4 linked regions of the Anolis sagrei genome follow. The protein of the gene in region 4 binds, or shares a complex with, the protein of the main gene of each other region. Links are inferred from orthologs where the notes say so. Each region holds a gene or a part of one and is shown on either strand. Other genes may lie near its edges. The genes, in order: RORA, ESRRG, PPARG and NRIP1.

Region 1 (7,191 bases), on a different chromosome or scaffold from region 4:
CCTGTTTCTTGGCACAATGGGGTTGGACTGGATGGCCTATGAGATCATTTGAACATTAGGTAGAACTTCCTGACTGTGAGAGCCGTTCAGCAGTGGAACTCTCTACCCAGGAGTGTGGTGGAGGCTTCAAAACAGACGCTGGATGGCCATCTGTCGGGAGTGCTTTGAAGGCAATCTTCCTGCTTCTTGGCAGAATGGGGTTGGACTGGATGGCCCATGACTGTGAGAGCTGTTCAGCAGTGGAACTCTCTGCCCCGGAGTGTGGTGGAGGCTCCTTCTTTGGAGGCTGGATGGCCATCTGTCAGGAGTGCTTTGAAGGCAATATTCCTGCTTCTTGGGAGAATGGGGTTGGACTGGATGGCCCATGAAGTCATCTTCGTGACTGTGAGAGCTTGTTAAAAGTATTGCAAAATGTGCAAAATTATATTGTTCGTTGAATGTATTTGGTTATGTTTGTGGGTTTGTGCCTTTAATTGTTGGAATGCTTGTGGTTTGGGTTTGGTCAATTGGGTGCAGGTGGAGCTCATTGCTGCTGTTCTAATGGTTTGCATCTGCCTGCAGTCTTTGGTCTGGTCTGATTTCTGAGTTTCTTTTTGTTTCCACTATGAATCTGTACTAAAGTAAGCTTCTGCTGTAGTATTGTTATTTTTATTTGATGTTATAACTCTGCTGACAGAGCCGTTCAGCAGTGGAACTCTCTGCCCCGGAGTGTGGTGAAGGCTCCTTCTTTGGAGGCTTCGAAACAGAGGCTGGATGGCCATCTGCTGGGGGTGCTTTGAACGCGATTCTCCTGCTTCTTGGCAGAATGGGGTTGGACTGGATGGCCCATGAGGTCATCTGAACATGAGGAAGAACTTCCTGACTGTCAGAGCCGTTCAGCAGTGGAACTCTCTGCCCTGGAGTGTGGTGGCGGCTCCTTCTTTGGAGGCTTTGAAACAGAGGCTGGATAGCCATCAGTCAGGAGTGCTTTGAAGGCAATCTTCCTGCTTCTTGGGATAATGGGGTTGGACTGGATGGCCCATGACTGTGAGACCTGTTCAGCAGTGGAACTCTCTGCCCCGGAGTGTGGTGGAGGCTCCTTCTTTGGAGGCTGGATGGCCATCTGTCAGGAGTGCTTTGAAGGCAATCTTCCTGCTTCTTGGGAGAATGGGGTTGGACTGGATGGCCCATGACTGTGAGACCTGTTCAGCAGTGGAACTCTCTGCCCCGGAGTGGGGTGAAGGCTTGTTGTTTGGAGGGTTCGAAACAGAGACTGGATGGCCATTTGTCAGGAGTGCTTTGAAGGCAATCTTCCTGCTTCTTGGCAGAATGGGGTTGGACTGGATGGCCCATGACTGTGAGAGCTGTTCAGCAGTGGAACTCTCTGCCGCGGAGTGGGGTGGAGGCGCCTTCTTCGGAGGTGTGCCATCTGTTGGGAGTGCTCTGAAGGCAATTTTCCTGTTTCTTGGCACAATGGGGTTGGACTGGATGGCCTATGAGATCATTTGAACATTAGGTAGAACTTCCTGACTGTGAGAGCCGTTCAGCAGTGGAACTCTCTACCCAGGAGTGTGGTGGAGGCTTCAAAACAGACGCTGGATGGCCATCTGTCGGGAGTGCTTTGAAGGCAATCTTCCTGCTTCTTGGCAGAATGGGGTTGGACTGGATGGCCCATGACTGTGAGAGCTGTTCAGCAGTGGAACTCTCTGCCCCGGAGTGTGGTGGAGGCTCCTTCTTTGGAGGCTGGATGGCCATCTGTCAGGAGTGCTTTGAAGGCAATATTCCTGCTTCTTGGGAGAATGGGGTTGGACTGGATGGCCCATGAAGTCATCTTCGTGACTGTGAGAGCTTGTTAAAAGTATTGCAAAATGTGCAAAATTATATTGTTCGTTGAATGTATTTGGTTATGTTTGTGGGTTTGTGCCTTTAATTGTTGGAATGCTTGTGGTTTGGGTTTGGTCAATTGGGTGCAGGTGGAGCTCATTGCTGCTGTTCTAATGGTTTGCATCTGCCTGCAGTCTTTGGTCTGGTCTGATTTCTGAGTTTCTTTTTGTTTCCACTATGAATCTGTACTAAAGTAAGCTTCTGCTGTAGTATTGTTATTTTTATTTGATGTTATAACTCTGCTGACAGAGCCGTTCAGCAGTGGAACTCTCTGCCCCGGAGTGTGGTGAAGGCTCCTTCTTTGGAGGCTTCGAAACAGAGGCTGGATGGCCATCTGCTGGGGGTGCTTTGAACGCGATTCTCCTGCTTCTTGGCAGAATGGGGTTGGACTGGATGGCCCATGAGGTCATCTGAACATGAGGAAGAACTTCCTGACTGTCAGAGCCGTTCAGCAGTGGAACTCTCTGCCCTGGAGTGTGGTGGCGGCTCCTTCTTTGGAGGCTTTGAAACAGAGGCTGGATAGCCATCAGTCAGGAGTGCTTTGAAGGCAATCTTCCTGCTTCTTGGGATAATGGGGTTGGACTGGATGGCCCATGACTGTGAGACCTGTTCAGCAGTGGAACTCTCTGCCCCGGAGTGTGGTGGAGGCTCCTTCTTTGGAGGCTGGATGGCCATCTGTCAGGAGTGCTTTGAAGGCAATCTTCCTGCTTCTTGGGAGAATGGGGTTGGACTGGATGGCCCATGACTGTGAGACCTGTTCAGCAGTGGAACTCTCTGCCCCGGAGTGGGGTGAAGGCTTGTTGTTTGGAGGGTTCGAAACAGAGACTGGATGGCCATTTGTCAGGAGTGCTTTGAAGGCAATCTTCCTGCTTCTTGGCAGAATGGGGTTGGACTGGATGGCCCATGACTGTGAGAGCTGTTCAGCAGTGGAACTCTCTGCCCCGGAGTGTGGTGGAGGCTCCTTCTTTGGAGGCTGGATGGCCATCTGTCAGGAGTGCTTTGAAGGCAATTTTCCTGCTTCTTGGGAGAATGGGGTTGGACTGGATGGCCCATGAAGTCATCTTCCTGACTGTGAAAGCCGTCCAGCAGTGGAACTCTCTGCCCTGGAATGTGATGGAGGCTCCTTCTTTGGAGGCTTTGAAACAGAGGCTGGATGGCCATCTGTCGGGAGTGCTTTGAATGCAATATTCCTGCTTCTTGGCACAATGGGGTTGGACTGGATGACCCATGAGGTCTCTTATGATTCTATGACCTGACCTGTGTCAGGAAGATTCCCAAGGCCACATTCTTGGGAGAGTCCCTTCTCTGCTTTTCTCAGGACAGAGTGGTGGAGGTTTGTTCTTTGGAGGCTTCGAAACAGAGGGCGGATGGCCAAGCCTAGGATTCTAAGCAAGTCTATGCAAGGCGCACGGCCTCCCTCCGGCCTCTGATGCAGGTTGGATGCTGAGTGCCTGTCTTCTTGGCAGAATGGGGTTGGACTGGATGGCCCAGGAGGTCATCTGAACATTAGGAAGAACTTCCTGACTGTGAGAGCCGTTCAGCAGTGGAACTCGCTGCCCCAGAGTGTGGTGGTGGCTCCTTCTTTGGAGGCTTCGAAACAGAGGCTGGATGGCTATCTGTCAGGAGTGCTTTGAAGGCAATTCTCCTGCTTCTTGGCGGAATGTGGTTGGACTGGATGGCCCAGGAGGTCATCTGAACATTAGGAAGAACTTCCTGACTGTGAGAGCCGTTCAGCAGTGGAACTCGCTGCCCCAGAGTGTGGTGGAGGCTCCTTCTTTGGAGGCTGGATGGCCATATGTCAGGAGTGCTTTGAATTCAATCTTCCTGCTTCTTGGCAGAATGGGGTTGGACTGGATGGCCCATGACTGTGAGAGCTGTTCAGCAGTGGAACTCTCTGCCCCAGAGTGGGGTGAAGGCTCGTTCTTTGGAGGGTTCGAAACGGAGACCGGATGGCCATTTGTCAGGAGTGCTTTGAATGCAATATTCCTGCTTCTTGGCAGAATGGGGTTGGACTGGCTGGCCCAGGAGGTCTCTTCCAACTCTTGGATTCTAGGATTCTATGACCTGACCTGTCTCAGGAAGATTCCTAAGGCCACATTCTTGGGAGGGGCCCTTCACTGCTTTTCTCAGAGGTTTGGTCTTTGGAGGCTTTGAAACAGAGGCTGGATGGCCAAGTCTAGGCTTCTAAGCCAACTCTGCAAGTCGCACGGCCTCCCTCGGGCCTCTGATGCGGGTTGGATGCTGAGTGCCTGTCTACACGCGGAGGAGGAGGGGCTGCGAGAGAGAGAGAGGAGAGAGCGAAAGGGGGGGATGGAGAAGGAGCGAAGCGGCGTCAAAGCTCTCGCTAGCGCTGCTTGTGGCCACACAGCCCGGATCTCTCTCTCGTTCTCTCGCCTGCCTTGCCTTGCCTGCTTCTCACCCGGAGACCGAGGAAGAGAGGCGAGAACGAGGCGAGGAAGGAGGAGAAGGAGGCGAGGAAGGGGCTCTCCTGCCGCCCTGGACCAAGGCAGGGCCAACAAGGCAGGAGGAGGAGGAAGGCAGGAGGAGGAGGAGGAGGAAGAAGAGGCAGGAAGATGGAGTCGGCGCCGGGGAGCCCCGCCGAGAGGGCAAGCGAAGCCGACGAAGCCGCTTTGGGCCCCACGGAGGCGGCGGGGAACCCCACGGAGCCCGTGACAACAGAAGGAGAACGAGGAGAAGGAGGAGAACGAGGAGGAGGAGAGGAAGAAGGGAGCCCCTCCGAGCCGCAGCCTCAGCAGCCCCAGCCTCAACCTCCGCCGCCCCCCGCCAACCGCCGCCAGAGCTATGCCTCCTCCTCCTCCTCTTCTTCCTCCTCCTCCTCCTCCTCCTCCAACGGAAGCAGCAGCACCCCCCGAGGAGAAAGGCCAGGTAGGACACTCCACGCACCCCCTTTCCCCCACCGGGACGTGCGCCCCGGACAGCTCTGAATGGGAGACACTGGGAGGAGAATGAGAGAGAGAGAGAGAGAGAAGAGGAAGGGGTAGGCCCCGCCCCCATCCCCGCCTGGCTCCGCCCACTCCCCCCTCCCCCCGGTGGGGAAGGAAGGGAGGAGGGAAAGAGGGAGGGGGAAGGAAGGAAGGAGAGGTGTTTACCTGCCGCACGTGTCCAGGCCGGGTCAAGGCTCCCCCAACTCCCCAACCATCACCATCCTTCTTCCAAGTTCAATGTTCTTCTCCTTCTAACAAGGGTGGTGGGCATCTCCCAGAGGATTACCTCTCCCAGAGGATTGAACCAAATGTGGCACACAGAACTCCCCGGATTACAGAAAATATATATCAGTGATTGGGTTTTTTTTTTGGGGGGGGGGGGGCAAAATACTGCTGAAAATTATTTCAACAGTATTTTGCCCCCTCCCCAAAAAAACCCAATCACTGATATATATTTTCTGTAATCCGGGGAGTTCTGTGTGCCACATTTGGTTCAATTCCATCATTGGTGGAGTTCAGAATGCTGTAAAAGTGTACTGCGACCGCTTACTCTGCGTAATGGACGAGCCGCCCCTGCTCTTGAGGTGCTCTTGGGGGAAAAGAGACCCAGTACATCCCAGTAACTACGACTTGCATATGTCAAGGTCTATTTTCCCCCAAGAGCGCCTCAAGAGCAGGGGCGGCTTGTCCATTACGCACAGTAAGCGGTCGCAGCACACTTTTTTTTTTTGCCAGGGGCGCACATAAATGTCCCTCGACCACCACTGTAAATGCCCCTCAACCGCCACTTGAGGAGTGTCCCCTCAGCTCACAACAGCCCTAGGATGGTCTCCCCAGCTTGGTTCTCCAACCATCAGCATCATTCCTCCAAGCTCACCATGATTTTATTCTTCTCCTAACAAGGATGGTGGGGATCTCCTCAGACTCAAAGGTGGTGCTCAGTGAATTCCTCAGCCACAAACATCATTCTTCCGAGCTCAATATTATTGTATTCTTCTCCTAACAAGGATGATGGGAGTCTCCCCAGCTTGGTTCTCCAACCATCAGCATCATTCCTCCAAGCTCACCATTGTTCTATTCTTCTCCAAACAAGGATGGTGGGGATCTCCTCAGACTCAAAGCTGGTGCTCAGTGAATTCCCCATCCACCAGCATCATTCTTCCGACCTCAGTATTATTGTATTCTTCTCCTAACAAGGATGATGGGAGTCTCCCCAGCTTGGTTCTCCAACCATCAGCATCATTCCTCCAAGCTCACCATTGTTCTATTCTTCTCCAAACAAGGATGGTGGGGATCTCCTCAGACTCAAAGGTAGTGCTCAGTGAATTCCTCAACCACAAGCATCATTCTTCCGAGCTCAATATTATTCCATTCTTCTTCTAACAAAGATAATGGGTGTCTCCTGGGCTTGGTTCTCCAAGCTCACCATAATTCTATTCTTCTCCAAACAAGGGTGGTGGGAGTCATCCTTGGTAGATGATGGGAGTCTCCTCAAACCCAAAGGCCAATCTCAAAGGTGATGCTCAGTTGGTTCTCCAACCACAAGCATCATTCTTCCAAGCTCAGTATTATTCTATTCTTCTCCTAACAAGGATGATGGGAGTCTCCCCGGCTTGGTTCTCCAACCATCAGCATCATTCTTCCAAGCTCAGTATTATTCTATTCTTCTCCTAACCAGGGTGGTGGGAGTAATCCTTGTTAGATGATGGGAGTTTCCTCAAACCCAAAGGCCAATCTCAGATGTGATGCTCAGTTGGTTCTCCAACCATCAGCATCATTCTTCCAAGCTCACTATTATTCTATTCTTCTCCTAACAAGGATGATGGGAGTCTCCCCAACTTGGTTCTCCAACCACCAGCATAATTCCTCCAAGCTCACCATTCTTCTTCTCCAAACAAGGATGGTGGGAATTTCCCCAAACTCAAAGGTGGTGCTCAGTGAATTCCCCAACCACCAGTGTCATTCTTCCAAGCTTAGTATTATTCTATTCTTCTCCTAACAAGGATGATGGGTGTCTCCTGGGCTTTGTTCTCCAAGCTTACCATTATTCTATTCTTCTCCAAACAAGGGTGGTGGGAATCATCCTTGTTAGATGATGGGAGTCTCCTCAAACCCAAAGGCCAATCTCAAAGGTGATGTTCAGTTGGTTCTCCAACCACAAGCAACATTCTTCCAAGCTCAGTATTATTCTATTCTTCTCCTAAGAAGGATGATGGGAGTCTCCCCAGCTTCTCCAATCACCACCATCATTCCTCCAAGCTTACCATTATTCTATTCTTCTCCAAACAAGGATGGTGGGAATCTCCCCAAACTCAAAGGTGGTGCTCAGTGAATTCCTCAACCACAAGCATCATTCTTCTGAGCTCAATATTATTGTATTCTT
Region 2 (7,625 bases), on a different chromosome or scaffold from region 4:
TATCAATTGCTAAAAAATGAAACTGAGCAGGAAGCAAAATTATGATGCTCATATTAAGTATGTCAAGCTGAGGGAATGACTATAGACCTCATCAGATGGCCCTCTGTAAAGTGGGGGACGATGGGGGAAATTGTGGGCCAGGATTAGGAACCCATCTGGCTGTTCCCTACCATCAGGGTCTGTCCTCTGCCTTCCCACGTTTCCCCGCTGTCCCCCACTTCCTCTTCGACTCAAGTGCATTTTTTGAACTAGTTGGGTCAGCATGTTGCAAGGGTACTTCCGTTGGGGCTCCATGCGGGCAGTGGAACCCCAGAGTCCCGCCAGAAGTAGCTCCAGGGGACTCCATGCCAGCAGCACAGAGAAGCAGGGAGAAGATGCTTCTCTGCCTTCATTTGATAAGGTTGTATATGTCAGTTTTACCATTGCACAGTACAGGTGATTTTTCTTTTTGTCAATATTTGTTGCAGCTAAGTATTCAAAGTTGAAAACCACATCCTTTATGCCTTAAAAAAGAGCTGCCTCTAAGTTGTTTTTGAATTTGTATCATGTTTTAATGTTAGATATGCAGTGGTTGATTGCTTATGTTATTTCTTAATTTTGGTTTATCTGTCATTATTTTAATTTTATTATCATTATGAATTTTCTTTTGGGATCTGAGGGATTATTTATTTCTCTTTGTTAGTGTATTCTGCCATTGACTGTTTGCCATTTTTGTTGGAAACTGTCCTGAGTCCCTTTGGGGAGATAGGGCAGTATACAAAGTTGTTGTTGTTGTTGTTGTTGTTAAACATACCAGTAATATCAGACAGTTTGAAAAGGATATAGAAGGAAGACTCTTTCCTTCAGTGCATGGACAATCTCACTACTACGGCTGCCCTATTCAGTGATTCATCGCGCTCTGACTGCTTGTTAAACACGAGACATGAAAAGAATAAAAAAGTAAGATGTTACAAAAATGCTTTTATTAGAGTTACATTCTTGGTCAAAAAAGCAGGTTAGATGACACAGGGCTTAATATGTGGAACTGGAAGATGAAGGCGGGTGAAATTTGTTCTGGTGTGATCCCACTGTGGCTGGGTTACTGAAAAATGGGGATAATGTGTTTGTATGCAGTTAAAAAACATGTCCTGTAAATCTTTTTCAGTTGCCCATTCCCTGGATGTCGCAATAGATTAAGTCACTATGTGATGATATGACACCGCCATCACTCGTCTTGCTGGGATATTGCTAGAGGCAACAACAAACCTGTGCCTTTGCACATGTGCAAAAAAAAAATTAGCGCTTCAGGGGTTAAATTGCACAGGCTCCCCTGTGGATCAGCTTATGCTTGCACAGTAATAATAGCAATAACATTAATAACAAAAAAAAAATGCCTGAGAAAAGTGAATTGATAGGGAGAGAAAGATGGGCCATGGTGTTTAGAGGAAACTAAAACCTAGAAGGCTACAAATGATGGGTTTTGTATGGCAGGTGTATCAACCAGACGTCCGATTTCATAGGTCTGCTGAAAATGCACCTACACAAATGCACATTACTTTAGCTTTTGAGATGCTTAGTGCCTTTGAATGTGTGTGTGTGTGCGCGCTTGTGTGTCTGTGAGTGCTGTCGCTTCAGGCCATGATATCCTAGGGCAGTGTAACAAGCAATTCGTGTCAGCTCACAGTAAAGATTATTGGTGTTTTCACTGGGGAAATATTTGCACTCCATCTTCTTTTCTATTTTTAGTGCCCTGAGCTTCCAGTTAGGTAGGAAGCTGGGGAGAGACAGGAGGTGAGGAAAAGAGCCATCTGATCTTGTCCCATAGTTGGTGAGATATCCTAATTTGATTTTAGGGTGGATGATTATACTGGCTTTTAAAAAATCCTTTCCACAAAGTGGCTTTTAAAAAGAAAGAAAGACCCAAACAACTTCTTTCACATTAAACAGATTTCTCTCAATCTCTTTGAAAATATTATGTAGGGAACTAGAAGAAAAAGTGGCTAAAACAAAATACGTGGCCTCATTGTCCCAATAAAGAGTAGCAATTTATTGTGAGGGAAAGAAAGCAATATGAATTGCTTTTCTTTCGTACTGTTGTTTATCATAATAATCTTTTTGTGCTTTCTGTACGAATATTTTAGATGCGATTATCATAACATCAGTGACCGAGATTGTCCAAAATGCAATGCTGACCTTGAGTGTACTTTATCATTTAGCATTTGGTGACTTAACATTCAGGAAACAACACACCTTCAACTCTCTTATTAATGTATAATCTGAAAAATGTGCTCTGTGATACATGTCATGCAGATTCTCGAAATCTTTCACTATCCGATGGAACAGCATGTGGTATTTTACTAGTGTAAATATGTAGAAGATTTTTCAAGATTTCTACAGGGGATACTCCATAACCAAAGTAAGCTTTCCCCTTGGCACTCCACTAGTTTATGATTTAATTTTTACTGACATTCCGCCAGTCGTATTATTATCTCCGCAAAATGAAAGTGAAATAATCCTGTATTAATTAAACAGAGTGACTGAATTCCCTCAGTCATCTTTGCCTTCGTTTTCTAAGACAGTAACACCGTGGGGTTCTCTAAGGAAACATGTGTTAGGAAAAGAGTCCGCTATGGGTTATACATCAGTTTTAGAAAAAGAAAAGGGGAAAAAAAAACTAAGATAGTACTTGTAAGTGTCTACTGATGTTCTTGAAAAGAGAATTTAAATCAGCAAGCAAAATGTCGCTTTACAGAATGGTATAGTTTATCAGTTTCTAATACATCCCTAGTACTAATTTAAATAGAAATTGTCTGAAGAATTACGGATGCAGAATACCTGTTGTGGTGGATCTATCATATAGCAATGATAGGATAAAATTATTGGTATGATGTTTTACTTGGAAAAAAGAACTTTTGCATATATTTACCTAGAAATAAAGGGAGATGAAGTGTGTGCATGTGCACTCTCACACATGCATAGGCACGCACATGTATGCTTATCTGCAGCTTGTATTTAAAAGCATATTCTAACATTGCGCCTTGTCTAAAATCTAGGCAGGGTGGTCATTATTTCTGCTAAATATAAATGAAAGCAGCAGATGGGCTCTAAAGTAGTAATCTACTACCATTTGCTCAAGTGTACATAAGCGTGCAAAGAAATTCAGAGAGTGAGCTTGTCACTTTCTGTGCGTGTGGAGGGAATTTTATTGGAGCCAGGGATGTGCCGAGCTTTCTGAGGAAAAGTAGAAAAGACAAACAGCAAACATGTATGAGTCTTAATGGCTTCTTAGGATATTTGTTTTCAATTAAGAGAGTTTGGAATTGGTGTATTTGCAAAGACAGGCCCTTGGAAGTCAACCCTTCGCTTCCCAATTCTTTAAATCCTGTATTCTCTGGCATTTTTCTGTCCAGGTACTATGGTATATCTAAACAAATCTATTACTTTGGTCCTTTTACAATGAACGTCAGACAATACAAGGTGAATTACAAAAAATTGCAGCACTTAATTCAAACTCAATTGAAAAGGTGATAGGATTTGTTGGCACTGAAGGGATACATGTTTTTGAGGGGCAGACTGCTAGGGATGGTATGAATGGGATTTGGGTGTGTGTATGGTTTTAACAGCAATCGTATTTTAGTGTTCATGCTTCATGACACCAAGATTTAATTGTTTGTTAGTTTTATATTCATATTTACATCCATTTTTTGTTTTTAATTTGTATTGTATCACGTTTGCTGTTAGCTGCCTTGAGTGCCTGTATGGGGAGGAAGGCAGGAGAAAAATAAATAAATAAACACAGGAGAGGACATGATGATTTTTAAATAACTTGGCGTACAACTGAGCAAGTGCCTAGTAACCTCATAGTAGACCCAAGCCCCCCTTTGTATTTTTCTTCCGTGGTCTTTTTCTGCACTTGGCACAATTAATTGTACTGCTTCTGCAAAGTGCCATTGAATCTTTACTTCAGTAGCCTTGAGGTAGCTGTGGCTTCAGAATCGGGCAATTTGGACGCAATGAGCTGTCTGTAGCACTTAAGTGTGAGGGTGCTTAAAGATATACAGTACTCTGCATGGGGATAATTATCCGCAGAAATATGCAGAGGAGATGTGAAGATGTAGACACTGTTCAAGAGCACTCACTGCCTGGTGCAAATACTCAGGACAGCGTCTCTCACCCTCCTAGCTCTGATTTTCACTATCGCTTTGTGCCGACTCCATGAGGTGAGTTTATACACAGCAGCATTTGACTTAGCAAGGGTATGTGTGTGTGTGTGTGTTAGCAAAAGAGAATACTCCTTGTATTTTTGATAATGTGAAAATTGTGGGTTTGCCTTGTTTATATTTTCACGAGTCTTCCTGTTCAATAGTACATGAAACGTAACAAGCAGTTTTCAGATGAACAAGGATGGTAATAATACTGTGATGTTTCTCCTTTTGTTAAAAAACTGGCATGAGAAGTTCAAAAACACAGTTGAAATTTCAAGCCCAGGTCTACTGGAGGTGACATTTTGAATCCCAGGGGGGAAGGCCAACTGCCTTTCATGAATGCATAAATTATAATACTACGGCTGTGGTCTTCTAAGCAGCATCAGCAGAGACAGATGCTTCCAAGGTGCCTGGTAGAAAGATAGCAATAGTTAATGTCGTGTTGGAGGGGGGAGCATAAGATGACATGGACAGGAAAGAGGACAGCAGGAATTCAGTGGAGCAGCGTAATAGATGGGAAAGCAGAGCAGAAGAGCAGACAGTCGTCCAAAGAATGTCCACAGCTAACTACAATGATCGTAAGACAATATGAGGTAATTTTTAAATAATTTTCTAATAGTTTAATATTATATATTCTCTGTTTATATTGTTATCTAGGCTTTAGACTAGGAAGCCTGGACAAAAGTATGCTTTCAGGAAACTTTCAATTGAATGTGATTTATTAGGTGCGAAGATAGATGGATGAATAGATGAATTCAAAGAGTATACTCAATGGGTATACGAATATGCTTCAATATTGTTATATCCAGACTTTGGATATAAATGATATATAAGTTATATGGAAATTAAGCACATCTGCTACAAACAGTTCTTATTAATTGAAATATTTGTAGGAAGGTATGTTAGATTCTGACACTATTAGAATACATGCTTAATCTTTTCCCTCAGCTTGTTTAGTGAATCCGAAGAATGGTTGGATAGGATGCATGTCAGATTGCTTTTAATCCACCATTCAGAACTAAAATTTACATCTTAATTAGAGGCTACATTTACCAGTATAGGCAGAATAATGTTACTGGTAATTAAGCTTTTGCCACCTGGTTTTCTCTGGTGATGAGATCAACTTCTGCGGTGTGTATTTGTATCCCTAAGAATGTGCATATTTGTCTGCATAGAAGCAGCAGACTCGCAACTGTTCGTGGGATAAATGTATTAAATGCTAGAAGTTGCTCAGGAAAGCAAAGAAGCACAAACATGTCTACTGCACATACATATATTTGTCTTCCATTCTGTCATCTTACTTTGGTGAAAGCTTTCAAATAGACTTGGAGACAGCTGTTGTATTCCCGTTTGTGAATGGCATTAATGCATTCTGAAGGTGAGCACTGATTTGTTTTGATCTGAACGATGATGCCATTTGTATCACGGAGTGCTTCACTCAGGAGAAAAAACATACAAACTGCTGAATTAGTGAAAAAGTGGTTTTTAAAAAAAATTGTAATAATTATTGCATTCTTGTATATAGCACTATTTTCAGTGGCACAGGGTATGATAATAATAATAATAATAATAATAATGTAAATAATAATTATTATACACTTATTATATTTCACAAATAGGTGAAATAAACATAGGTTGCTTTATAATAAAGTTGTACCCTACTTTATTTTTGCAGTTTTTCAAAAAATGTCTGTTGTTAGTCTGGAGACTGGCATCCATGTATTAAGTGTGTTTGTATTAAGTGAAGCAGGTCAGTAGCTTTAACATGCAGGAGCCAGAGGTGGAGTATTTGTGGGTTGTTTCTGTTGTTTGCATTCAAGTCATTTCTGACTTACAGCAACCCTAAGATGAACTTGTAGTATAATTTTCTTCAAAAGATTCATTTAGAGGGGATTTTGCCATGGCCTCCCTCTGAGGTTATGAGAGTGTGACTTGCCCCAGTGAGTTCCATGGCTGAACAAGGATCTGAACCTTGGGTAAAGGGTTAGATAATTTTCCATAGTAAAGGTAGAAGTTCCCCTTGACATTAAGTCTAGTCTGGGTGGTGGTGCTCATCTCCATTTCTAAGCTGAAGAGCCGGTGTTGTCCGTAGACGCCTCAAAGGTCATGTGGCCAGCATGACTGCATGGAGTGCTGTTACCTTCCCGCAGAAGCAGTACCTATTGATCTACACACATTTGAATGTTTTCAAAGTGCTAGGTTGGCAGAAGCTGGCGCTAACAGCAGTAGCTCACTCCCACTCCCAGATTTGAACTGCTGACCTTTCAGTCAGCAAGTTCGGCATCTCAGCGGTTTAACCCGCTGCACCACCAGCGGCTCTGAAGAGATACTTCAGAGATTTTAAAAAAATATTTATGTACCAAATACAAGCCAACATATTTAAAGATTTAAATGGGATATAGCCCAATCCAATGTATCTCTATTTGGAAATGACTTCATTGGGACCAATATCCAAATTATTGTACATACCTTTGGCTCCTTTGCACTGCCGAACAGTTCAGTTTGCTGGACGGTCCCACAGTGTTATTTTGGAGAAACGCCTTTGAACTGTATAAAACTTGCATTCAGATAATAATAGTTAATACTGGTAACACTGATCAACAAAGTTTCTCTTGCTTATTCCTTTTTTGGAGACGCAAATAAAACAGACCAATATTAACAGGCATCATCCTGTTTGCCTTTAGGCATCCTCATAGGTTTGCAAACAGGCATGCGGCCCCTTTTCAGCATAAACATGGTCAAAGTGCACAGCCTTTTCTTTCCAGCTCCCGAGCATGTTTCTCTCTCTCTCTCAGAGTGATGCAAAGACAAACACTGGCAGCCTTGCATGTTTACAAAACTTGGAAGTGCAGAAGCTCAGCAGAAAGCAAGCCCCCATTCCACCCGTACTCTGCTCAGATCTTTAGAAATGGGAAAGAGAAATGAAGTATGAACAGTTCCATCCTAGCCATGTTTCACTCAAGATGCTGAGGATTTCCTCCCACATGCAGGTTCCCCAGTGCATTTAGACTAAGCATGGGCAAACTTTGGCCCTCCAGGTTTTTTTTACTTCAACTCCTACAATTATTATTATTATTATTATTAACTTTATTTGTACCCCGCTAGCATCTCCCGAAGGACTCGATGCGGTTTACACAGGCCGAAGCCTCAAAACAACAATACAATAGAGAGCATAACATCACAATAGCAAGCAAATCAGCAATAAACAAAATAGCATAACACCACAATAACTAAGCAAATCAAACAATAAGCAAAATAACCACAATAGCAGTACATCAAGACATTATTAAAACTGGTTCGGCCGGCGCACTGGGGTACAAGGGTTAAAAGTGCTGAAATGGCAGGAGGCACGTGGGATTAAAAGTGCAGTGTGCAGCGACAATTAGTTATGCTAAGGTGCTACTAGGACTTGGGGTGGGGATTCCTAGTCTGAGAAGGCAC
Region 3 (7,645 bases), on a different chromosome or scaffold from region 4:
ACTGCCATATAATCCCAGATTATCAAAGCAGATAATCCACATAATCTGCTTTGGACTTGATTATATCAGTCTACATTGCCATATAATCCAGTTCAAAACTGATAATCTGGATTTTATATGGCAGTGTAGAAAGGGCCCTAAGATTATCTACTTTTAACTGGATTATGGGACAATGTAGACTCATATAATTCAGTTCAAAGCAGATAATCTAAATTATCTGATTTGATAATCTGGATTATATGGCAGTGCAGATCCAGCCTGTAAATTAGAAGTGACTTTGATCCCTTCTATACTGTCATATGGTCCAGACCATCAAAGCAGATAATCCACATTATCTGTTTGAACTGGATTATATGAGTCTATACTGCCATATAATCCAGTACACATCGGATAATCTGGATTTTATATGGCAATGTAGAAAGGGCCTTCAAAGCACACACAACAACAATGAATTAAACAATGCAGATATAAATTCTGTTTTTCCTAGCGTAACAGAAACAGAAATCACACACAATTTTCTCTCTCTCCTCTAATGGATGAATAGCTCAGTCCACTTGAGTTCAAAATACAATACTTCTAAAGCTGCTAAAGTTAGTTGTAATTTCTGGCAAGATGCCTTGTATTTGATGAGAAATGAGTGCCAGAGCTTGGGCAAGTTGTTGCTTCCAGACTGCAAATCACAACTAACTTTAGCTGCAGCAGAACCATTCTATTCTGAAAAGGGAAGAATTGATTTATTTCCTCTGGATGCACGACAAATGTGTAACACATATACATTTTTATTAAACCAGTTTTGCAGTCAAGTTTTGTATTTCCCCATTGCTCTTTTAAAGCCATAAATCCCTCCTTATTGGCCATATTTTTCCTGGTTTTAGGCTGCATCTACACTGCAGAATTAATGCAGATTGACATCACTTTAACTGCCATGGCTCAATACTATGGAAACATGGGAGTTTACTTACATCAGGTTTTTAGGCTGCTCTGCCAAAGAGTACTGGGGCCTCACCAAAGTACAACTTCCATGATTCTACAGCATTGGACCATGATAGTTAAAGGGGTCTCAAACTGCATTGTTTCTATGGTGTGTAGATGCACCCTTAGTCAACAGTAGCATGGAGGCTTGGCACCACCATGTAGCTATGGGGGCATCGGTATTTCTGGGGGTCTTCTGCTTCCATACTCTTAGCTGCTGTTCAGGAGCATCATGACACAATGTTTGTTTGTTTTTTAGTCCTGTTGGTCCTTTCTATCTTCTGTGACTTATAACTGCAACATGTTCTCTCCTTCTAAGTTCAAAGTAATAGCATTCTCACCTCACTCTTTCTGAGTAACAAGAAGGATTAGAGCAGTGGTTCCCAAGGCAACAGTGTAGTATGGTGAGGCTGTGGACGATATTTTCGTTCTTTTAGACCACTGGTTGGGAACCACAGGTTGGACCACAGGTTGGGAACCACTGGATTAGAGTCAGAGGACATTGTAGCTGCTCCGTAGAAACACAGTTACAGCCTTCAGGCACCATGGGCCCTACCACACTGCTACACCATTTTAGCATTATTATATCACCTTTACTGCCATGGCAACATTACATGGAATTCTGGGATGTGCAGTTTAGTGAAGAGCATTTACATTTCCAAGCCAGAATGCACTTGGATATCCATCAATCTTTGGGTATAGAAAAAATAACTTGATAAACTTTTTTTGCATGGTTGATAGTATAGCAAAGGTGGAAAACAAAACTGAACATTGAAAGCTCTCTCTGTGTTCTTATGAAAACATGTACAGGCAGTCCCCGAGTTACAAACATCCGACTTACAAATGGCTCATAGTTAAGAACAAAGGGTAGACAATAAAAAGTGAGCGGAATCTGCCCCTAGGAAGGGAAATCCACTCCTGAAAGAATTATCATGTGGAAAAGGGGTCTCCACTGAAGCTTTCTCACTAATTCTTGTTTCCACAACAGCTCAAATTTTTCAAAATCCAATTATCACAGAAAGTGAGGTGGAATCTTATGAACAAGGGCACAGACAGCAAAACAAACACCACATGAGTGGAGTTACACTTGAAAAAATTACCTGTTCTGACTGTCATACAAATTCAGCTTAAGAACAAACCTACAGGACCTATCTTGTTCATATCTTGGGAACTGCTTGTATTAATATCAGTACTCTTGGTTCCAGGACCCTCGTGGACACCAAAATCTGTGCCATCATATACAATAGAATAGTAAAATGCTGTGCCTGATATACGATAGCAAAATCAAATTTGCTGTTTGGGACCATTTTTACTTTGAATCCATAGATACAGAATTTGTGGGTATGAAGGGCCAGCTGTATATCTTTTTTTTAAAGGTAATTCCCCCCCCCCCCCCCAAAAAATTAGAGATAGAAAAGCCAACCAGGAGGAGGGGACTCTGTAATTAATTTACCAGAAAAATATAAACTCTTTAGACCTCTAATATTGAATTAACAATAAAAAAAACAATAGAAGACAGTAGGTGCCAAAAGCATATTTTTAGCATAGATACCTGAAAGATGATATGAATGGTGGCCAAAGCTATCTGGAGCAATGAGGAAGAAGAGCACAAGAAAAAAAGAGTAGATGAAGAATACGGAAATAAATAATTGCTGGTTACTCAATGGACTCATCATATCACTTCTCTTGAGTTTCTCCTTGAGGAGTGGAAAGCACTGTCAAACCTGATGGATCGGTCCAGGTCTGCCCTGGTTCAACTTTGCTGAGCTTCTCTTCAGACGCATCCATACTGTTGAATTAATGGACTTTGACACCATTTTAACAGCCACAGCTCAATGTTTAGCACCAGCACTCTTTGGCAGAGAAGACTAAAGACCTTGTAAAATTACAAATCCCATGATGCCATGGCAGTTAGTTTTGTCAAACTGCATGAAATCTACAGAGGAAAAGCAACCCCCCACACACTCCTGATGGTGGATGGGATCCACTGGGAGGACAAGGCATGGAAGGGAGTTGTTGCAGTGATGTTTTGGAGGGGGTCTCTGTGTGTGTGTGTGTGTGGTCCTGTACATGTCCATGCAAGCCTCAAAATAGCCCCGTAATGTTGTTTCTCTCCGACACCCTCTACATTCAGGGCCCTATCACACAAGCTTGCATTATCGCTCCACTTCAACAGCCATGGCACCATTCAGTGGGATTCTGAGATTTGGACTTTGTGATGAGTCTCAGTCAAGAGCTCTCTGGTTGACAACTCTCAATGCCATTTTCCAAACAGCAGTCCATGGGACCTTGCCGTGACAATTAAACTGGAATAACAATGCTGTAAGAGTGGCTGCATCCACACTGTACAATGATGTTTGTCACCACTTTGACTGCCCTGGCTCAATGCTATGAAATCCTGGGAGCTGTAGTTGGGTTGTGGAGCACCCAGTGAAGGTAAAAGTAACGGTTTTACCTGAGTCCCCCTTCGGGGGTAGAGAAGGGCGGGATACAAATATTTGAAATAAATAAATAAGGTTTCCCTTCATGTCCTACTCTGGGGGTGGTGCTCAATTCTGTTTCTAAACTGAAGAGCTGACGTTGTCTGTAGATGCCTCCCAGGTCATGTGGTACCTATTGATCTACTCAACCATTTGCATGTTTTTGAACTGCTAGGTTGGCAGAAGCTGGGGCTAACAGCGGGAGCTCAACCCACTCCTCAGATTTGAACTGCCGACCTTTTGGACAGCAAGTTCAGCAACTCTGTGGTTTAACCCGCTGCGCCACCAGGGGAAACCTTTACCTTTACCTTTATGGTTGGGTGAGGCACCAGCACTCTTTGGCAGAGAAAGCTAAAGACCTTGTGAAACGACAACTCCCATAATTCCATATCATTGAGCCATGGTGTCAAAGAGCATTAATTCTACAGTGCAGATGCACCTAGCAAAAGCATGGGCAAACTTGGGCCCTCCAGGTGTTTTTTTGGACTTCAACTCCTACCATTCCTAACAGCCTCAGGCCTTTCCTTTTCCCCCTTAGCCGCCTAAGGAGTGACCTAAGGCTGTTAGGAATGGTGGGAGTTGAAGTCTAAAACACCTGGAGGGCCCAAGCCGGCCCATGCCTGACCTAGCATCAGGTGGAAGTCTACACCTGTTTCCACACATGTGCTCCCCACGCTGGATCTGTGTGTGTAGACTCTCACACCAGGCAGTTTCAGTGCTATTGTCCCCCTTTTCCCCCCAGAGTGCATCTTCACTTGTAGAATGAATGCAGTTGGACGCTGCTTGAACTGTCCTGGCTCAAGGAAGATGCCTTCTCTGCCCAAGAGTGCTGGTGTCTCACCAAACTACAACTTCTAGGCTGCCATAGCGTGGAGCCCTGGCACTTCAAGTGGGGTCAAGCGGCATGACTGACTTCAGCAATGTGTGGACTGGGTGGGAAGTGAACGCGAAAACCTTCCAACTTTCCAACTCCTAGGATCCCATAGCCTGGCATGTTGCCTTCCTTCTCGGGTGTGCTGCGCCTCTCTCAGCCCATGCCCATGCCCATGTCCTCCTCGGTGGCTTCCTCTCCAGCGAAGCGCCAGCCTCGGTCCGCCGCCTCCTCCTCCCCTCCTTCCTTCCCGGGGGGGGGCCGTGTCCGTCTCCCGGGCGTGGGCTGGGCTGGGGGGCGGGGCTGGGGGCGGGCCCTCCTTCCTGCCCATAGGGCGGCCCGGGTGGGGAAGCCCAGATGCCACCAGGCGAGGAGACTTTCCCCAGCCGCGCTGACAGCACCAGGTCAGTCCCAGAGAGAGCGGAGAGGGAGAGGGAAGGAAGGAGGGCGCTCGGGTCCGGCACTCTTGGCCAGAGGAGGGAGGCTCCAGACCACACGTCAAACTGCATGAACTCTCTGTGGAGTGAGAAGGGGGCAAGCCCGTGGCGAGGCAAGGGGTGAAGAGGGCGCATCGGGAGCCAGGAAGGGGGCTTCTCGCTGGGGAAGGGTCCCTCTTGGCCAAGGAAACCCTCTGTGCTGGCACTCTTTGGGCTCGCCATCAGTCCCAAGGGGGCTTGGGCATCAGATTGGGGTTTGGTTTCACTTTATCCGAGGAAGAGAGACCCAGGACTCATTGAATGGAGCCGGTGGAGAGAAAGGGGAATCTTCACGATCATCCTCTCTTTGGGTTGCTGTAAGTTTTTCGGGCTGTACGGCCACGTTCCAGCAGCATTCTCTCCTGACGTTTCGCCTGCATCTATGGCAGGCATCCTCAGAGGTTGTGAGTTAAGACCTCTGAGGATGCCTGCCCTAGATGCAGGCGAAACGTCAGGAGAGAATGCTACCGGAATATGGCCATACAGATCAAAAAACTTACAGCAACCCAGTGATTCCGGCCATGAAAGTCTTTGACAGTACATCCTCTCTTTCTCAATCTTTCTTTCCTTCTCTCTCCCTCTCTCACATGCCCACCCAAGCCCCCCTCTCCAATTCATAAATATAGTTGTGTCAGGGCTTGAAAGTGAAGTTCAAGGACTTAGTTATACACAAATAGTGTAATGGGGGCTTCTCCTTTGGAGGCTTTTAAACAGGGGCTGAACAGGGACAGTAAACGTAAAGGTAAAGGTTTTCCACTGACATTAAGTCCAGTCGTGTGCAACTCTGGAGTTTGGTGCTCATCTCAATTTCTAAGCCAAAGAGCCGGCATTATCCATAGACACCTCCAAGATCATGTGGCCAGCATGACTGCATGGAATGCCATTACCTTCCCACCAGAGTGGTACCTATTGATCTACTCACATTTGCATGTTTTCAAACTGCTAGGTTGGCAGAAGCTGGGGCTGACAGCAGAAGCTCACGCTGCTCCACAGAATCGAACCTGTGACCTTTTGGTCAACAAGCTCAGCAGCTCAGTGCTTTAACCCACTGTGCCACTGGGGGCTCCTGGTGTCCAGGGATACTTTGTGCTTTTCCTGCATGGCATAGGGTTGGACTAGATGGCCCATGTGGTCTCTTCCAACTCTATGATTCCAAGGGCCCTTCCACACAGCCCTCAATCCCACAATACCAAGGCAGGAAATCCCACATTATCTGAGTGCGGACTCAGATAACCCAGTCCAAAGCAGATATTGTGGGATTTTCTGCCTTGATATTTGGGGATATAGGTCTGTGTGGAAGGGCCCTCAGTTGGAAAGGCGTTTTGTGGCTCTTCAGTCTTGTCCAGGAGAAGCTTCAGAAAGGGGAGAGGGAAGGGTTCAGTGCCCACTCCAGCCACAGGTGTGTGGCCTACCTTTGCATCCAAATCCAGGGATGAATCTTGTTCCCAGTAGATGCAGGGATCTTCATAAGGGTGCACTGTCTGTTCATCAGGGAAAGATGGGCTTCTCCTGTAGGGGCCCATCCACACAGCCATATAACCCAGAACATCAAGGCAGAAAATCCCACAATATCTGCTTTGAACTGGCTTATCTGAGTCCACACTGCCATATATTCCAGTTCAAAGCCCCTGGTGGCACAATGGGTTGAACCCTTGTGCCGGCAGGACTGAAGACCAACAAGTCAAAGGTTCGACTCCAGGGAGAGTGCGGATGAGCTCCCTCTGTCAGCTCCAGCTCCCCATGCAGGGACATGAAAGAAGCCTCCCGCAAGGATGGTAAAACATCAAAACATCCAAGCGTCCCCTGGGCAACATCCTTGCAGACGGCCAATTCTCTCACTCCAGAAGCGACTTGCAGTTTCTCAAGTTGCTCCTGATACAGAAAAAAAGCAGGTAATGTGGGATTTTATTCAGGGACCTAGGTTGGGCTGTGCCACCTGGAGCAGATGTGTTAAGTTTCCTTTCACAAAACATGTGTCATAGTTATCTATATTAAAGTGGGACAGATTGACTTCTGGGATAGGTCCACTGTGTTCTCTGCCACAACCTCAAGACACCTATATCTGTGGTGATGCTGCAGGGGAGGAGGCAAGGTGATGGAAAGGAAGCCTTTTGAAAAGACTGGTGGTTTAAAAAAAATGTGTTTCCTAACCACAATCGAGAATGTTAATGTATACACTAATGTTCCAAGCATAATCCTGCCATAACAGATATTATACATTGTGAAATATATGATGCCTCGGTGTCATATCCCGAGTCTGCAGGAGTGTTTTGTAAGTTTCCCACTGTCATTTCTCCCAAGGGCATTCTGCACTGGAGACTGCGCGTTCCTGTTAGTGTTGTAACTTTGAGGCAATACGTATGAGTTATGATCCAACTTGGTAGCAAGGTCATAATTTTATACAGTTGTGCCACGTGGAAGTTTCCTTTTGGTACCATTTTGAGGAGTTTCTTTCTAGGGTCCCTTCCACACAGCTGAAAAAAATCCCACATCTGCTTTGAACTGGAATATATGGCAGTGTGAATTCAGACAACCCAGTTCAAAACAGATATTGTGGGATTTTCTGCCTTGATATTCAGGGTTATATGGCTGTGTGGAAGGGCCCTGATGGCAGCTGATGTCCTGAAGGCAGCTGATGTCCTGAAGGTACTAGATCCTTTCTAATCTCAGATGATAAGCAGGGTCAGCTCTGGTTGGTACTGGGGTGGGAGACCACCAATGAATAACAGTTACTGCAAGCTGTGTTTTGGAAGACTGACAGATTGGAGGTTTGAATCCGGGGAGAGCCTGGATGAGCTCCCTCTGTCAGCTCCAGCTCTCCATGCAGGGACATGAGAGAAGCCTCC
Region 4 (7,015 bases):
CTGCCCTGATTTTAGAGTACTTTTTAAATACCAGTAGCCAAATTTTGTTCATTTTCATGTTGAAATTGTCCACCTGCTTGTGGATTTCAATGGCTTCTCTGTGTAGTCTGACATGGTGTTGTTAGAGTGGTCCAGCATTTCTGTGTTCTCGGATAATATGCTGTGTCCAAGCTGGTTGATCAGATGCTCTGCTATGGCTGACATATCAGGTTGAATTACTCTGCAGTGCCAAACAGACAACAGTTCACTCCCCCACCCTGGACATTCCACAGATATATAAATTTCACTTGTCTAGTCTCCAACAGAATCCTCAACCTCTGAGGATGCCTGCCATAGATGTGGGCAAAATGTCAGGAGAGAATGCTTCTGGAATATGGCCATACAACCTGGAAAACTCACAACTAACCAACAGTAGTATATTTTTATATATTTTTTCTACCTCAACATGGCAAATGTTTAGTTCTGATAGTCACCGAGGCAGGGCAAGAGGATGGAGACTTTTGTCCAGGACTATGTTGCTCAAAGACTATGTGGAAAGTGATGTGAACCCTGCAAAAGGGCATATTTAAACACATTTTTAAACCATCCCAGTTTAACCAAGGTGTGACATCTCTGGAAAACTAGCAATATAAAACATTGCCTGTCTGGTGCATTATTATAATTTTACTTCACCATTTTGAGACAAAAATAAACAGGCTATACTACTGTTGGGTTGTGAGTTTTCGGGGCTGTAGATTCCTGACAGAGCAGAGCTTTCCAAACTGTTTTGTGACAGGTTAGTGCAGGTATGGGCAAATGTTGGTCCTCCAGGTGTTTTGGACTTCAACTCTCACCATTCCTAACAGCCTCAGACCCTTTCTTTTTTCTCCTTAGCCACATAAGCATAAGCAGCTGAGCAGGGAAGGAAGGGGCCCGAGACTGTTAGTAATGGTTGAAGTCCAAACCAACTGGAGGGCCAACGTTTGCCCATACATGTGTTAATGTGTTTGCTATAGTGCAGTGGTCCATGGACCACCAGTGGTCCCCAAGAACGAAAATATGGTCTGTAGCCTCACCATTAGTACACCATTGCCTCGAAACCATGTGGCATTGAGAGTGACTGATCTCACGAAACCCTCTTACAGTGCCAAGGCAACAGGGATGTCAGAAGGGGAGAGGCTGATTCCTCATGAAAGGGTACTACTACAACATCAGCTCTAGATTATTAAATAGGTGGGGGGTTTTTTGTGGGCAAACCGATGATGACTACCGAATGGTATATTGTATCTTCTGTATCTTCTGTATCAGAAACTAGAGCTGACTAGAGCCGTCTGCAAAGACATTACCCTCGGGATGCCCAGATTTCTGATGTGTTACTATCCTTGTGGGGAGCTTCTCTCATGCCCTCCCCCCCCATGGGGAGCTGGAACTGACAGAGGGAGATCATCTGCGCTCTCCCTGGATTTGAACCTTCGACCTGTCGGTCTTCAGTCCTTCCAGTACAGGGGTTTAACCCACCGCACCACCGGGGAAATGTTGATCAGCCACCAGTACCTTGGCAGCTACCTCTCCACAAAAGTCAACATTGACACTGAAATACAACACCACCTGAGCTCTGTGAGTGCTGCTTTTTTCTGAAAGAAGCAGAGAGTGTTTGAGGACTGGGACATCCGTAGGGATATCAAGGTGCTTGTTTATAAAGCAATTGTCCTCCCAACCCTGCTATACAACTGCTAAATGTGGACTGTCTACAGACATCACATGCAACTCCTGGAACTATTCCACCAGCGCTGCCTCTGGAAAATCCTGCAAATCTCTTGTGAAGAGAAGCAGACAAATGTCAGAGTGCTGGAAGAAGCAAAGACCACCAGCATTGAAGTGATGGTCCTCCGCCATCAACTCCGCTGGACCGGCCACGTTGTCCGGATGCCCGACCACCGTCTCCCAAAGCAGTTGCTCTACTCCGAACTCAAGAATGGAAAACGGAATGTTGGTGGGCAGGAAGTGATTTAAAGATGGGCTCATAGCCAACCTTAAAAACTCTGGCACAGAACTGGGAAGCCCTGGCCCTTGAGCGCTCTAGCTGGAGGTCAGCTGTGACCAGCAGTGCTGTAGAATTTGAAGAGGCATGAATGGAGGGTGAAAGAGAGAAACGTGTCAAGAGGAAGGCGCGTCAAGCCAACCCTGATCGAGACCACCTTCCACCTGGAAACCAATGCCCTTCACTGTGGGAGACAAGCCCGTAGCCAGGATTTCGTTTCGGGGGGGGGGGGGTGTGAATTTTTTTCAGGGGGGTTTCGGGGGGATGAGTTTCAGGGGGGGGCTGAGTCTGAGTGAAAGAGTGTCTACCCTAGCAAACCTTTTGTATCATTACCCCAATACCCCCATGCATATGGGATATATTGAGTATGGTGATCAGATCATGATATGAATAAACATAACAGTTTAAGTAATGCACCAGTAAAGCCTTTTCGCGAACCACCATGAGAATTTCGGGGGGGGGGGGGGCTGAAGCCCCCCGAGCCCCCCCCCCCCCCGGCTACATGCCTGGTGGGAGAAGATGCAGATCAAGAATAAATAATAATAATAATAATAATAAAACTTTATTTATACCCCGCTACCATCTCCCCAAGGGACTCGACGCGGCTTACATGAGGCCGAGCCCACAGTACATCAGCAAAAAACATCAAAGCAGTAATACAAAACAATAAAATAAAACTCATAAACAAAAAATAGGCAGTAAACATCGATAATAACACAGTAACATTTAAAAACCAATGGTTGGGCCAAATGTAATAGTTAAAATTAAAAAAATAATGCGGGACAAGACCAGGTGAAATATAACTAGAATAGAATTTCGGAAAAGAATGGGGTGTACAGACAGTTCTAGATCACTAATAAGGTGTAATTAGGAACATATTGGTGGGAGTTTCCTTATTCTGGGAAGGCACACTGGAACAACCACGTTTTCAAGCTCCTCCTAAAAATTGCCAAAGTTGGGGTGTGCCTAATATCCTTGGGGAGGGAGTTCCAGAGTCGGGGGGGGGGGCACCACCGAGAAGGCCCTCTCCCTCGTCCCCACCAATTGCGCCTGCGATGGAGGTGGGAGCGTGAGTAGGGCCTCTTCAGATGATCAAAGAGATCATGTGGGTTCGTACACAGAAATGTGGTCATGCAGGTAGGCAGGTCCCAAACCATTCAGGGCTTTGTAGGTAAGAACCTGCACCTTGAAGTGGGAATAGGGCTCCACAGTCACCTACAGACCCACCACCAGTACATTGATCTTGGAAGACTATCCTACTCGGACAACGAGGGATCGCCTAAGGAAGTAAGTAAAGTACCACCGGGGACTCCTACTGGAGCTGATGTGGTCTACCCAATGCCATTTTCTGAATCAGCACCTCAAATAACCAAAGAGAATCTAAAGTTGACTGAAAACTGATTTGTAACCCTTTTGGTACTAATGTTGGAGAGTGGTCCCTGGTCAAAAGAAAGGTTGAGAACCACTGCTGTAGTGTGTAAATGTTATGAGAAATGAGAAGAAAAAACATCTTTGGAATATGTTATGATGTTACCCATCATTTCTCCCCCCCCCCCCCCCCGAGATGTATTGTATTCCTTGTTACAATGGCTACTATGTCTTGGCCCTTCCCTCTTCTCAAGGGTCTGTTGAACCTTGGGCTTTGCTAGTAAACCTGCGTGACTGTCGCAAAAGGAAGCCTGCCTTCAAAGTGTGTCACCAACAAACAGGAAGGGTTTGAGGGAAGCTGCGTGCAGTCCCGACCGAGCCTGGAGGTGTCCCTCCCCGCCCTGGCTTCCCAAGGCATCTGCCTTCCTGTGTCAAGGGGGTGGCGGGGGAGAGAGAGAGAGAGAGAGAGAGAAAGGGGGGAAGGAAGAAAACCCAGTGAGAAACTTGGCTGGAGCGATGAATGGCGAGGAGAGGAGGCGGGTGGAGGGATTGTGACAGGCGGAAAGGAGGAGGGAGAGAGAAAGGGAGGGAGAGAGAAGAGAGAGAGAGAGAGGGCAGGCGGGAGAGGAGGGAGGGAGGGAGGATCACAGGCTGCGGGTGAAGCTTTGAAAGTCAGCCTCACAGGCATTGCAGCAGAGCCCCGAACCGGAGAGAGAGGAGGAGGAAGAGGAGGAGGAGGAGGAGACTCGAGGCGTCTTTTCCTGTGGAGAGCCAGCGAGAGGCGCAGGAGGAGACCCGAGGGGGCGAGAGACGCCTGCCTTCCTCCCTGCTCTGCGCCTTCCCCGTTTCCCTGGCCATTCAAGCCTCCGGAGCCCGGGCGTTTTGGCCAAGCGAGGCAAAGGAGAAGAGGCCAAGCAGAGCGAGGCGGCCAAGGGTGAGTCGAGTGCCTGCTTGGCGACGCTGCTGCTGCTGCTGCCACCGTGGCTTGGCTGGGCCGCCTTTCCCCTCTTACGGAGGGGGAAGGAAGGGCGAGAGAGGGAGGAGGAGGAGCAGGAGGGACGGAGGAAATGGCCGCGGAGGTTGGCGGGGGGCTTTGGGGAGAGGCAGAGGGAGAAGAAGGCAGAGAGAGAGAGAGGGAGGCAGAGGCGCTGCCCTGGCAGATGGGCAGGAGCGCGGAGCCAAGAGGCGAGAGGGCTCAGGGCGCAAAGGGAGCCTCTCATTAGTCTTCTTCGCCTTTGAATAACAAGCTCGGGAAGCCAGGCTAGGAGCTGTCATTCCCGAAGGAGGGAGGGAGCATATCAACAACATTGTTTCCGGTAGCAGGCAGGCAGGTTTTCAATCCCCCCACCACCACCCACCACCACCTTTCCCTCTCTGAAATGGACACCTTACAACCTCACAACCTCTGAGAATGCCTGCCATAGATGCAGGCGAAACGTCAGGAGAGAATGCTTCTAGAACACGGCCAATTGAAACATTGACACCTACCTCCAACAGACAAGAGTTCTTTATCCCACCCTGGACAACCCACAGATATACAATCCCCATTTTCCTAGTTTCCAACAGACCTCTCAACCTCTGAGGATGCCTGCCACATATTTGGGCGAAATGTCAGTAGATAATGCTTCATGGCCAGACAGTCTGGGAAACTTACAAAAAAACAGTGATTCTGGCCATGAAAGCCGCCAACAAAACGTTGGACACTTAAAGTTTGATCATCCCTTAGGGCCCTTCCGCACAGCCCTATAGCCCAGGATATCAAGACAGACAATCCCACAATACCTGCTTTGAACTAGGTAATCTGCATCCACACTCAGATAATGTGGGGTTTTCTGCCTTGATATTCTGGAATATAGAGCTGTGTGGAAGGGCCCTCAGATAACTCAGTTCAAACCAGATATTGTGGGATGTCCTGCCTTGATATTCTGGGATATAGGGCTGTGTGGAAGGGCCCTTAGACATGGGTGGGCAGGGAAAAGTTGGGGTCTCCCCCTTCCCCTCAGTGCCTCTTTTGACTGATTGAAATCACCAGGAATCCCCTGAAATGTTCACCTCTTCTGCCTTGTATTCCCCAGCCCTTTTACACAGCCCTACATCCCAGAATACCCAGGCAGAAAATCCCACATTATCTGAGTGTGGACGCCGATAACCCAGTTCAAAGCAGATATTGTGGTATTTTCTGCCTTCATATTCTGGGATATAGGGCTGTGTGGAAGGGCCCTGAGTATAGGTTCAGATAACCCAGGGCCCTTCCACACAACCATGTAACTCAGAATATCAAGCCAGAAAATCCCACAATATCTGCTTTGAACTGGGTTATCTGAGTCCACACTGCCATATATTCCAGTTCTAAAGCAGATAATGTGGGATCTTATTCAGCTTTGTGGAGGGGGGTGGGGTGCCAATTCAAAGCAGATATTGTGGGATTTCCTGCCTTGATATTCTGGGATATAGGGATGCCAAGAAGCCCCCCCCCCCCTTTCCCTGAATTATCCCAAGTCTTGTGCGCCATGGCTGCGGCGGCGCCTCTCAGGAAGCCAAGCTGGGCACAGGCTCGCACAGCTTTGAAAGATCCATGCACTTTGACTGCCATGGCTCTGTGCTAAAACTCTCTGGTGTTGCAGTTTTACAAGGTCTTACGCCTTCTCTGCCCAAGAGTGCTGCCGCCTCACCAAGCTACACGTGGCTATGGGCCCTTCCACACAGCCCTATCTGCCAGAATATCAAGGCAGAAAAGCCCACATTATCTGAGTGTAGACCCAGATAACTCAGTTCAAAGCAGATATTGTGGGATTTTCTGCCTTCATATTCTGGCATATAGGGCTGTGTGGAAGGGCCCTATGATTCCAGAGCACTGAGCCCTTGTGTGCTGGCAGGATTGCTGGTCAGTGGTTCAAATCCAGGGAGAGCGGGTTGAGCTCCCTCTGTCCGCTCCAGCTCCCCATGCGGAGACATGAGAGAAGCCTCCCACAAGAATGGTAAAAAATCAAACACCTGGGCTTCCCCTGGGCAATGTCCTTGCAGATGGCCAGTTCTCTCATGCCAAAAGCGACTTGCAGTTTCTCAAGCTTCTCGTGACACAAAAAAGGGCCCGTCAACACTCAAACATATAACTCAGAATATCAAGGCAGAAAATCCCACAATACCATCTTTGAATAGAGGGTGGTGCAATGGGTTAAACCCTTGTGCCGACAGGACTGAAGACTGATAGGTGAGTGGGTAGAATCTGGGGAGTGCAGTTTGCGCTCCCTCTCCCCATGCAGGGACATGAGAGTAGCTTCCCACAAGGATGATAAAACATCAAACATCTGGGTGTCCCTTGAGCAATGCCCTTGCAGACCGCCAATTCTCTCACACCAGACACGACTTACAGTTTCTCAAGTTGCTACTGACATGAAAAAAAAAATCTTTGAACTGGGTTATCTGAATCCACACTGTCATATATTCTAGTCCAAAGCAGAAAATATAGGATTTTATTCAACTGTGTAGAAGGGGTCTCTGACTGCATCCATTCCACAGTTGGGGTGCCCCCTTGGTCTCCCCTCTTTGCCTCCTCCTCTTCCTCCTCAGCTCTCCTTTCAAAGGGATGATCTCCCCTCCTTAGTCGCCTGCAAAACCACACCAGGC

What was found.
Region 1: the proteins of NRIP1 (region 4) and RORA are in contact, whole or in part, in a crystal structure (PDB 4S15), measured with the Homo sapiens proteins. The link is inferred for Anolis sagrei from reciprocal best matches to the Homo sapiens genes NRIP1 and RORA. Residues at the interface, in NP_001426204.1 of Homo sapiens: Thr499, Leu500, Leu501, Gln502, Leu504, Leu505, His507; in NP_599023.1 of Homo sapiens: Gln332, Val335, Lys339, Phe344, Met345, Gln349, Gln352, Ile353, Leu356, Pro505, Leu506, Glu509, Leu510.
Region 2: the proteins of NRIP1 (region 4) and ESRRG are in contact, whole or in part, in a crystal structure (PDB 2GPP), measured with the Homo sapiens proteins. The link is inferred for Anolis sagrei from reciprocal best matches to the Homo sapiens genes NRIP1 and ESRRG. Residues at the interface, in NP_001426204.1 of Homo sapiens: Ser378, Leu379, Leu380, Leu381, Leu383, Leu384, Lys385, Ser386, Gln387; in NP_001429.2 of Homo sapiens: Val277, Ile280, Lys284, Phe289, Leu294, Gln297, Met298, Leu301, Gln302, Lys448, Leu449, Glu452, Met453.
Region 3: the proteins of NRIP1 (region 4) and PPARG are in contact, whole or in part, in a crystal structure (PDB 9CWN), measured with the Homo sapiens proteins. The link is inferred for Anolis sagrei from reciprocal best matches to the Homo sapiens genes NRIP1 and PPARG. Residues at the interface, in NP_001426204.1 of Homo sapiens: Ser130, Thr131, Leu132, Leu133, Ala134, Leu136, Leu137, Ser139; in NP_056953.2 of Homo sapiens: Val321, Gln322, Thr325, Lys329, Phe334, Leu339, Gln342, Val343, Leu346, Lys347, Pro495, Leu496, Glu499, Ile500, Lys502.

What each region holds. Positions count from the first base shown.
Region 1 is NC_090029.1:3,134,839-3,142,029, forward strand, and holds the start of RORA (nuclear receptor ROR-alpha), read left to right. Parts: upstream 1-4,181; 5' UTR 4,182-4,436; coding exon 4,437-4,749; intron 4,750-7,191. UniProt on the Homo sapiens protein: Nuclear receptor that binds DNA as a monomer to ROR response elements (RORE) containing a single core motif half-site 5'-AGGTCA-3' preceded by a short A-T-rich sequence.
Region 2 is NC_090021.1:35,092,589-35,100,213, reverse strand, and holds the start of ESRRG (estrogen-related receptor gamma), read left to right. Parts: upstream 1-4,617; 5' UTR 4,618-4,618; coding exon 4,619-4,777; intron 4,778-5,485; exon of another isoform or gene 5,486-5,616; intron 5,617-6,653; exon of another isoform or gene 6,654-6,741; intron 6,742-7,625. UniProt on the Homo sapiens protein: Orphan receptor that acts as a transcription activator in the absence of bound ligand. Binds specifically to an estrogen response element and activates reporter genes controlled by estrogen response elements.
Region 3 is NC_090022.1:64,554,164-64,561,808, reverse strand, and holds the start of PPARG (peroxisome proliferator-activated receptor gamma), read left to right. Parts: upstream 1-4,641; 5' UTR 4,642-4,727; intron 4,728-7,645. UniProt on the Homo sapiens protein: Nuclear receptor that binds peroxisome proliferators such as hypolipidemic drugs and fatty acids.
Region 4 is NC_090023.1:61,573,689-61,580,703, reverse strand, and holds the start of NRIP1 (nuclear receptor-interacting protein 1), read left to right. Parts: upstream 1-4,009; 5' UTR 4,010-4,322; intron 4,323-7,015. UniProt on the Homo sapiens protein: Modulates transcriptional activation by steroid receptors such as NR3C1, NR3C2 and ESR1. Also modulates transcriptional repression by nuclear hormone receptors.